2 linked regions of the Macaca mulatta genome follow. The protein of the gene in region 1 binds, or shares a complex with, the protein of each later gene. Links are inferred from orthologs where the notes say so. Each region holds a gene or a part of one and is shown on either strand. Other genes may lie near its edges.

Region 1 (5,073 bases):
TAGCACAGGGCGGGGAACCTGTGTGCTCTGGGCGCGGGGGGTCCTACTCACGACGGGGTTGTCGAAGATCTGCCAGAGGTCGGGGTGCAGGTGCTCCGTGTCGTATCGGGAAGTGGCCAGGAGCCGGCCAAATTCATGCTGATTGCTCAGATGGAGGAAGATGCCCTGTAGTGGGGTGGGGGTGTCCATGATGCAGGCCATGCCCACAGTCCGGGATGCTGCCCCCAGGCCACACCACGCACCCGCGCTCACCTTGTCTCGAAAGCTCTTACAGAAGGCCATGTCCGGGTCCGTGTCACTGCCTGAGAACACGTCCCTCTGGGGCAGCTCCGTCCGCAGCGTATCCCCCCGGATCACATAGGCCTGCGAGATGTATGGCACGTTCCACACGCCCCTGGAGGCACCGACAACCGTGGTCAGCTGGGAGGGCGGCCCCCCAAATTCTGCCCAGCTCATCCCGGGAAGTCCTTCTTCCCTTAGAGTATCGCAGTCCCTGAACATAAGGCTCCTGCATGTCCCTTGTCAAGCACTGCTTGTCACAACCGCCCCATCTCCCAAAACGCAGTCAGTCCCTACCCCAAGCTGTGGCACTTTTTTGTTTCTTGTTTTTGGCTTTTGAGACGGAGTCTTGCTCTGTCACCCAGGCTGCAGTGCCGTGGTGTGATCTTGGCTCACTGCAACCTCTGCCTCCCAGATTCAAGCAATTCTCCCACCTTAGCCTCCCAAATAGCTGGGATTGCAGGTGCCCACCACCATGCCCAGCTAATTTTTGTATTTTTTGTAGAGATGGGGTTTCACCATGTTGGCCAGGCTGGTCTTGAACTCCTGACCTCAAGTGATCCGCCTGCCTTGGCCTCCCAAAGTGCTAGGATTACAGGCATTGAGCCACCATGGCCGGCCCTTGTTTTTTATTTTCTTGAGACAGGGTCTCCCTCTGTTTCTAGGCTGGAGTGCAGTGGTGCAAACATGGCTCACTGCAGCCTCAACCTCCCAAATTCAAGTGATCCTCCCACCTCAGCCTACGTAGTAGCTGGAACTACAGGCACGCACCACCGTGCCCAGCTAATATTTTAAGTTTTTTGTAGAGACATGATCTTGCTATGTTGCTTAGGCTGATGTTAAACTCCCAGGCTCAAGCAGTCCTCCTACCTCGGCCTCCCAAAATGGTGGCATCAAAGGTGTGAGCCACTGTACCCGGCCTCGTGGCACCTCTGACTGGTGACCACTCCAAACCCCTGAGAGTGGGGGCCTTGGGTCTACCCGGGCCCTGGGTCGGAGGAGGCAGGGGGCTGCAGGCTGGCGGGACTCACACTCGCTTTCGCTGCACCAGCTCCACGTAGTCCTCGGAGCGGGCGTAGTACTCATCGGGGCTCAGGGCGCCCCAGAAGTTGGACCACAGCTTACCGTGGCGGGACAGCATGGGGGCGATCACCTTCCTACAGACAGGCAGGGGTGAGGGCTGGGCAGACGGGAGCAGGCCTGGGGAGCCCCGTACCCAAGGCAGAAGTGGGGTTCCCAGGGCCTGTTGGGGTGCCCTCCGGCTGCGGGGAGAGGGGGTAAGCCACCTGTTCTCCTCAATGAGGATGCGCAGGGTCTGTAGGTTGGTGAGGACGGCGTCAGCGTCCAGGCTGAAGTAGAACTCACACTCGGGGTCCTGCCGACACATGTCCCTGGAGGTAAGAGGCGAGCTGAGACAGCGGCGGGTGAGGAGGCAGTGTGGATGGGGGGACTGGCCCACGCCCCCATGAGAAAAGGAGGGAGGCAGTGTCTATCCTTCCTTCCCTAGGCTCTCTGCTGTCTGGGTGAGCTGGTAAGGGCGGGGGTGACAGCGTGGGGGCTGCAAGGACGCGAATGGGGAGGCTCAGGAGGGGCTGGACGGGTGACAGGTGAGGTGAGGGCCAGGCATCAGGTGGCAGCAACCCCCACCCTGCACCCTCATCCCACCCCCTCCTCCCCGCAAGCACCCGCTCACATGGCCATGTCCCTGGCCTCTCCTGGGCTCAGAGCCTCCTCCGGCCCTACCAGCTTCACGACTGCGAAGTGGTCCTGGAGCTGTGGCCAGGAGTCAGCGATGTGGGGCTCATGGAAGACCTCCTGGGAGGGGATGACATAGACGAATGGGCTCAGAGGGCAGGGAGGCGGCACCTGAGGTATGGGGGGTGCTGCGGGAAGGAGATGGGGGTAGGGGCACGGGAGTTCTGATCAGGGCAGGGGAAGGGTGCCTCGGGAGAGGCTCCAAGATCGGGGCGGGGGGGGGCGGTCTCACGTTGTTGTGCAGAAAAAGGGTGACCCTGTCAGGGGGATAGTCCAGGAGCAGCAGCCGCTGCAGGAAGCGGGGCAGAAACGGAGTAGGCTGTTCCACAAACACGGCCAGAAACACCCGGGGGGGAGGCTGGAAGATGCACCACACATGGGCTCAGAGGGAAGCCTGGACTTCTCCGTTGCCCCCACCCACCCTCCACCCTGACAGGTGCAGGGACCCGCGAGCGGTGGCCCCACCACCACCCAGCCCACTGTCCTTGCACCTCCTGCTCAGCATGCTGCCCTCTCGTGCCCCTCCCTGGCACCCCCACCTCACCTGCCCCCCCGGGAGTGTCCTCCGGTCCCGGTTGCAGAAGCCACAGCCTCCCTCGGGAGTCCAGCCATTGGGGACGTAGTTTCCCAGGTAGTTGAGCTGCAGCTGTCGGGGAGAGACTGAGGCTGAGTGGCTGAGGCCTCCAGGGGTGGAGGTGGGGATCAGGCACCTCTGGTATGGGGGCTGGGAAGGGCTGGCTTCTCAGAAAGGTTGGAGGTGCCCGGGGGTTGGGGCAGGGCAGGGCGGCGGTTGAGACCACTGGTGGCACCTTAGTGGGACCGTTTCCATGGACCACAACGGGGAGCGTGTCATAGGCCACATTCCGGATACGCACACGGTTCCGATCAAACTTTAAAACCACTTCATCTGGGGAAGAAAAAGGTCAGGCTTCAGACTCCCTTTCTCTGGGAGCTGCCAAGCAACATGTTCTTCTAAATACGGGGTCCCATATTCTCCAGGGAATAAAGGGACACCAGGGCCATCCTAGAGTGTCCCTCATTGTGGGGCAGGAACCTTTGGGTTCTGACCAGGCTGCTGGCCCAGAAAGCTCCATTGCCTACTACCTGCGTGATCATGTCACAGCTGGGTGGAAGGGGAGGATGAGCTGAACTGGGGTCCACTAGGAGCCTCAGCATCCCTACCCCTCCTCATATTCTCCCTCTCTCCTTTTTTTTTTTTTTTTTTTTTTTGAGATGGAGTCTCACTCTGTCGCCCAGGTTAGAGTGCAATGGTGCGGTCTTGGCTCACTGCAGCCTCTGCCTCCTGGGTTCAAATGATTCTCTTGCCTCAGCATCCCAGCTAGCTGAGACTATAGGCACATACCACCATACTTGGCTAATTTTTGTATTTGTATTTTTTGTTTTTTATTCTCAGATGGAGTCTCACTCCTATCACGCAGGCTGGAGTGCAGTGGCGCGATCTTGGCTCATTGCAACCTCCACCTCCCGGGTTCATGCGATTCTCCTTCCTCAGCCTCCCAGGTAGCTGGGATTACAGGCACATACCACTACACCTGGCTAATTTTTGTGTTTTTAGTAGAGACGGGATTTCGCCATGTCAACCAGGCTGGCCTCGAACTCCTGACCTCAGGTGATCCACCTGCCCTGACCTCAGGTGATCAATCCTGCCAAAGTGCTAGGATTACAGGCATGAGCCACCACACCCGGCCTAATTTTTGTATTTTTAGTAGAGACGGGGTTTCACTATGTTGGCCAGGCTGGTCTCAAACTTCTGACATCATGATCTGCCCGCCTCGGCCTTCCAAAGTGCTGGGATTACAGACATGAGCCACTGCACCTGGCCTCCTTTTTTTTTTTTTTTTTTTTTTTTGAGGGAGTCTCTGTTGCCCAGGCAGGAGTACAATGGCGCAATCTTGGCTCACTGCAACTTCCGCCTCCTGGGTTCCAGTGATTCTCCTACCTCAGCCTTCTGAGTAGCTGGGATTACAGGTGCTCGCCACCATGCCCGGCTCATTTTTGTACTTTTTTTTAGTAGAGACGGGTTTCTGCTATGTTGGCTAGGCTGGTCTCGAACTCCTGACCTCAAGTGATCCTCCTGCCTTGGCTTCCCAAAATGCTGGGATTATAGGCATGAGGCACCGTGCCTGGCCTCTCTCTCTCCGTTCTCCCCATCCCCTGAGGCAAGTCACCAACCCCTCCACAAGCTGCTTTCCTCATCTGTATGAGAAGGATAACCAGGGACCTTCCCTTTGTTAAACGAAATCACAGAGTAGGCCGGGCACAGTGGCTCACGCCTGTAATCCCTGCACTTTGGGAGGCTGAAGCAGGCGGATCACCTGAGGCTGGGAGTTCGAGACCAGCCTGGCCAACATGGTAAAACCCTGTCTCTACTAAAAATACAAAATTAGCTAGGCGTGGTGGCGCATGCCAGCTACTCGGGAGGCTGAGGCAGGAGAATCACTTGAACCCAGGAGGCGGAGATTGCGGTGAGCTGAGATTGGACTATTGCACTCCCGCCCAGGCAACAAAGCGAAACTCCATCTAAAAAAAAAAAAAAAAGCCCCTGGCCTGGTGCCCAGGTGCAGCATGTGTGCAACAGATGCCAGACGCATTTTTGCCTCCCTTGCTTCTAGTACCATCAGCACAGTGCAACTCACACAACCAGCCACTCAGATGCCCAATAAAACCACATAGAGGTGGACTCAGATCAGCCCAGGTCCTCCAGAAGCCTCTCCCAGCTCAAGACCCCAAGCTGCAGAGGCTGTGCACTGCCCACCTGCGGCTGTCTTCCTCCTCACCTAAAGCCCCGTTGAGGTTCTGAAAGATCCGAGACTTATGATCCAGATTAAGGCTGAGTTTCTCCTAAATGGAATGAGATGCGATAGAGTGGTTAAAATGGAAGGAATGGGAAGGACATCATTTCTCTCTTCTCTCTCTCTCTCTTTTTCTCTCACTTTTGTTGCTTAGGCTGGAGGGCAATGGCATGATCTCAGCTCACTGCAATCTCTGCCTTCCGGTTCAAGCGATTCTCCTGCTTCA
Region 2 (5,073 bases), on another chromosome or scaffold:
CACTTGGCATGTAGCCCATGACGAAAATGCAGACTGAACAACTGTCATCCTCTTTCTTATCACTAGTGCCCAGCACACAGTCAGTGCTCTTGAGGTGTGTGGAAAAGAAGCCAATTAAAGAGTGAGAAGTTCCCACACCGTCTAGCAGTGAGGGGAAAAAGGAAAAACGTGAAAAGTACCTTGTTCACTCCCATTCCCATCCCACAGCTCAGCTCCCTGCACACAGCAGGGGCTAAGTGTACCAAATCAATAACTTATCTTTGTGACACGAGTGCCAGGCACACAGTAGGTGATCAGTATGTGCTTGAATAAATGGATAGAAGCATCTTATTTATCTCAATATTCCCAGAGCCTGGGCTGGGCGCAGTGGCTCATGCCTGTAATCCCAGCACTTTGGGAGGCCGAGGCGGGTGGATCACTTGAGGTCAGGAGTTCGAGACCAGTCTGGCCAACATGGTGAAACCCCGTCTCTACCAAAAATACAAAAATTAGCCAGACGTGATGGCGCACACCTGTAGTCCCAGCTACTTGGGAGGCTGAGAAACAAGAATTGCTGGAACCTGGGAGGCATAGGCTGCAGTGAGCCAATATCATACCACCGCACTACAGCCTGGGTGACAGAGTGAGACTCTGCTCTTTTAAAAAAAAAAAAAAAAAAAAAATCCCAGAGCCTAGAATGGCACCCAATACACAGTAGGCACTCAATAAATCCTTGAATGAATTTTAAAAATGAATGTGTATCAGTAGTGCCTGATTCTTACTCTGATCAGTAACTGCTTGATGACTGAATCAATCGCTGATAGAGGGAATAATTATGCCTCATTCACTGCCATAACATGGGAACCTGGCATACAGCAGGTACTTAATAAGTGTTGGGCACATGAACAGATGAAGAGGGCTTGGTTCTTCCCAGTTCCCCAGGGCCAAGCCCTGTTGCTGGCATGCAGTAGGCACTCCATTAATGCTGCCTGTGTGCACGTGATTGCTTAGCGAGAGCTGGCTGGACACCACCCCACACGAGAGCCCTCTGCGGCCTGCCAAGGGGTCCTAGAGGTGGCCCTGATGTCCTCAGTAAGCACCTGGAACCTGGGCCAGCGAAGGCTGCTTTGGCTTTCTGGCTGCCACCCCTCAGAGTTCATCCCGGGCAGCACTGTCTAGTGGGGACTGGAGCACGTCTGAGTTCTTGGCCTCACGGCTCAGTGCCTGCTGCTCCCGCATCTTCTGGGACTTGGCGCGGTCCCAGTCGGTCTTGACGTGCTCATTGTTCCATACGACTGAGGTCTCAGTGTCACTCACATAGCCATCGTCTCCGGTGTAGTGTGTGGGGTAGATGAGCAGCGGCTCCACGGAGAAGGCATGCAGGTTGCGGAGGGAGAAGTGGGCCTTGTACTCAGACCTGGGGGGAGGAGGAGGGGAGTGAGGGGCAGCAATGGCTTCAGGGGAGGGGACAGCTGGAGGAAAAACTGGAGGTGAAGAAGTCAGCCGGGATAGATTAAGACGTAAGTGTGCAGGGGATACAAATGGAGACAGATCTGGGAGGGGGCGAACGGAGGGAGAAGTAGGCAGAAGAAGAGACAAGTCCTCAGAGTCCGTGAGTTTCACGCCCCCACCCTCCCAGGACAGGCCCACGGTGAGACGCCAGCCCAGCAGCCGCCTGCCCCTCTCACACTGGGTGCTTGTCGAACATGACGGGCAGGAACTCGTCCACAGGCAGCATCTTGGAGAGCGGCTCAGCAGCCAGCAGCTTGCGGGCGCCTTGCAGGGAGATCACGTAGGCCAAGGTCCAGTAGGAGTAGTCGGCCTCCACCAGGTTCCTCACGCGGGGCACAGCCTTCTCGGGGTGCTCCACCTGCATCCGCTTCCGGCCCACGTAGCTGGGGTGCAGGATCGGGCCTGTCACTCTCCTCCCGCCCTCCAGAGGGAGCTTGCCCAGAAAACTAGGGATCTAGTTACCCCGCCAGGCCCTGGGATGGGAGCAGGCTCAGCATGTTTGCGGAGCGCTGTGACTGGATGCAGAGAATGCAGGAGCCCAGGGGTCTGGGGGTCATGTGGGTCATGGGAATTAGAGTTTTTCCAAAGGGCGTGAGGGAGCCGTGGAGGCTTTGGAGCTGGGGAGAGCAGGATCACGCAGAGGTTCTCTGAGGCTGAAGCTGCTCTGAGTTCAGAGGGCAGTGGGGGTGGAGGTGGGCGAGGTGCCCTGATGTGGGGAGCAGTCAGGAATGGAGGGGTGCAGTTACTATTCACACGGGGCAGTGTTCCCAGAATGTGGATTAGGGCACTGCACTTGGAAGGGAAAGATGGAGGAAAGAAGAGGACAAACCAGCCCACCTATAGGAGAAAAGAAAGGCTCCAGTGCAGGAAACATGGGGGCGGTACTCCCATACCAGGGCTTGTCTAAGACCCAGGCGCCCTGGCCACGCCCCCACTCTTCGGCCACACCTCCAGCTCTGACCACGCCCTCCATGACCACACCCCATGCTCTTCAGCCTCGCCCGCAGGCTGCCCGGTCAAATTTTAGCCACATTCACTTCCATAGACCTCAGTCAAGTCTCTAAGCCCTGACCAAGCCTGCAGGCTGCTGGCCAGGTACCTTGAGTTCTGGGTGATCCTTCTAAGGTCCTTCCCTATATAGTCTACAGCCCTGACAGTGCTCTCAGGCCCAGGGATCACGTGAATCATCCTGCTACGTTTCCAGGAGTTAGCCACGCCCTACGCCTACCACCCTGACCACACCCAGACATACGGCTCTAGGCTTAGCTGCAGCGCTCTGGCCACGCCCCTAGGATCCAGCTCCACTCCGCCTCGCAGCCCCACCTCTAAGCCCTGGTCCAGCTCCACCCCACCCTCAAGCCCCGCCTCTAAGCCATGACCCGTCCCCAGGCCCCAGCTTCACCCTGTCCGCAACCCCACCTCTAAGTCCTGGCCTTGCCCCAGGCCCCAGCTTCACCCCACCCTCAGATCCCCACTCACATGAGGTCCCAGTCCAGGCCCTCCCGCTCTACATCGCGCATAAGGTTCATCAGGCGTCTCTTGAAGAAGATCTCAAAACGCAGGTCATCCTCAAACACAAGCGATTTCTGCAGCCCCCGGTCCACCACCTGAGAGAGGAAGCCCAGCCAGGTCACAGGGAGGCCAAGGCCAGGCCTGACCCTAAAGCACAGAGCTCTGCTTTCAGAAGCTCTGAAAGACCAGGAGAGAAGCCAGTGCATCTCCCCGCCTCTCCTAGCTCCAGGGACATCTGGACATCCATGCCCTCTGTCACCCATGATGGATCTCCGAAGAGGAAGGCCTCCTAGCCCCTCAAATGTCCACACCTCATGCACCTCCCACCTTGCAGCCGCACGCCCCCATTTGGCTTCATGTTTGATGATCATGTTTTTTTCTTTCTTTTTTTTTTCTCTTTTTTGAGACGGAGTCTCGCTCGGTCGCCCAGGCTGTAGTGCAGTTGCTCAATCTTGACTGCAACCTCCGCCTCCTGGGTTCAAGTAATTCTCCTGCCTTAGCCTCCTGAGTAGCTGGGATTACAAGCATGTGCCACTACGCGCGGCTTTTATTTATTTTTCTTTTTTTGAGACACAGTGTCACTCTTGTCGCCCAGGCTGGAGTGCAATGGCATGATGTCAGCTCACTGCAACCTCCACCTCCTGGGTTCAAGTGATTCTCCTGCCTCAGCCTCCCAAGTAGTGGGATTACAGGAGCCCACCACCACACTCAGCTAATTTTAGTATTTTTAGTAGAGTCGAGGTTTCACCATGTTGGCCAGGCTGGTCTTGAACTCCTGACCTCAGGTGATCCACCTGCCTTGGCCTCCCAAAGTGCTGAGATTACAGGCATGAGCCACCACACCCAGCCATTTTTCTCTTTTTTTCTGAGACACAGTTTTGCTCTGTTGTCCAGGCTAGAGTGCAGTGGCACAATCTTGGCTGAATGCAGCCTTAACTCCTAGGCTCATGTCACCCTCCCACTTTAGCCTTCCGAGTAGTCAGGACCACAGGTGTGTGCCACCATGCCTGGCCCTGATAGCCCCAAGTTCGAAGCCCAATCAGACACCCTCCTCCAATCACAGCCTCTCCCTCTGAGGGTGGCTGAGGATGCCTGGGCTGGTGGGGTGCCCCTGGCACTGGGCAGGTGCTGGTTTAAAGTGGCTCTGTGGCCATGACTTCTATTACTAAACGTCAAGCATAGAGACCAGGCTGGGAGTAACGAGGATTTGTTTACAGGTCCCAGGCCCCAGACACCACCTGCTGCTCAAAAGGGCTCACCCCTCCCCCGAGCCTCAGTTTCCACATCTGCGCAATGGAAGGATGGCAGACACACCTGGGGTTGATACAGCTGGTGTGGCGCATCATTCACTAAAGAGACGCCATGGGTCCCATGGCTGAGGCTGGATGCCTGGCCAGGGCTTTGGGGAACTCCTTCAACCCCTTCCCGCTCCAAATCTCAGAGGAGATCTCGAGTCATAACTCTGGCCCCGCCCATCGCTCAGGACACACCTCCTTCCAGATGTTGTAGTGGCTCAGGAAGCAGCCCAGCTCACCCTTGGTGAGGGGCCGGCCGTGGTAGGGGTCCCGGTAGCCGGGCAGCATCTGGATCCCCAGCGCCTCCACCTGGCTGGTGTTCATGGCTCTGGAGAGGAGGAGAGGGTCATGAAGAAGGCTCACCTTGCCTGCCATTCTGCCATCCCCCGCCATTCCATCATCCCCTGCGGCGCTGAGCAGCTGGTCCCCCTCTTGTAGCACTGGCACCCCTCCTGGACACATGGGGCCTCACTCACCTGCACATGGTATACACTCATGGGCAAACCTGCTCTCCTCCTCTCCTGGAGTCTGACTGACTTACCCCTCCATAGTCCCCACCAGCGCGGTCTACACTGGCAGCATGCAAACCGACCCATTCCCCTGGGTCAGGACTCACTTGCCTTCCATGGTCTACAACTGTGAGGATCTGCCCCTTCCCCGGGGTCCCTTTCACTTGCCCTCCATGACGCCCACTGATGTGGTCTACACCTGTTTGGACACCACGCCCGCCCCCATCTGAATCACTTGCCGTCTACCAGCGAGGTCTACACCCACA

Evidence for each region. Proteins that work in one complex are often made in the same cells at the same time.
Region 2: the proteins of PLOD3 (region 1) and COLGALT1 are in contact, whole or in part, in a cryo-EM structure (PDB 8ZGE), measured with the Homo sapiens proteins. The link is inferred for Macaca mulatta from reciprocal best matches to the Homo sapiens genes PLOD3 and COLGALT1. Residues at the interface, in NP_001075.1 of Homo sapiens: Leu226, Val229, Val230, Leu231, Lys232, Phe233, Asp234, Arg235, Arg241, Gln261, Tyr264, Leu265, Pro275, Gly430, Ala431, Leu432, Arg440, Glu442, Glu446, Arg452; in NP_078932.2 of Homo sapiens: Ala36, Tyr37, Phe38, Pro39, Glu40, Glu41, Arg42, Trp43.

The regions. Positions count from the first base shown.
Region 1 is NC_133408.1:48,476,541-48,481,613, forward strand, and holds part of PLOD3 (multifunctional procollagen lysine hydroxylase and glycosyltransferase LH3), read right to left. Parts: intron 4,897-5,073; coding exon 4,833-4,896; intron 2,942-4,832; coding exon 2,844-2,941; intron 2,681-2,843; coding exon 2,579-2,680; intron 2,393-2,578; coding exon 2,267-2,392; intron 2,095-2,266; coding exon 1,973-2,094; intron 1,671-1,972; coding exon 1,566-1,670; intron 1,437-1,565; coding exon 1,311-1,436; intron 395-1,310; coding exon 253-394; intron 166-252; coding exon 52-165; exon of another isoform or gene 7-51; intron 1-6. UniProt on the Homo sapiens protein: Multifunctional enzyme that catalyzes a series of essential post-translational modifications on Lys residues in procollagen. Plays a redundant role in catalyzing the formation of hydroxylysine residues in -Xaa-Lys-Gly- sequences in collagens.
Region 2 is NC_133424.1:18,075,869-18,080,941, reverse strand, and holds part of COLGALT1 (procollagen galactosyltransferase 1), read right to left. Parts: intron 4,627-5,073; coding exon 4,494-4,626; intron 3,099-4,493; coding exon 2,971-3,098; intron 1,875-2,970; coding exon 1,668-1,874; intron 1,397-1,667; coding exon 1,129-1,396; 3' UTR 1-1,128. UniProt on the Homo sapiens protein: Beta-galactosyltransferase that transfers beta-galactose to hydroxylysine residues of type I collagen. By acting on collagen glycosylation, facilitates the formation of collagen triple helix. Also involved in the biosynthesis of collagen type IV.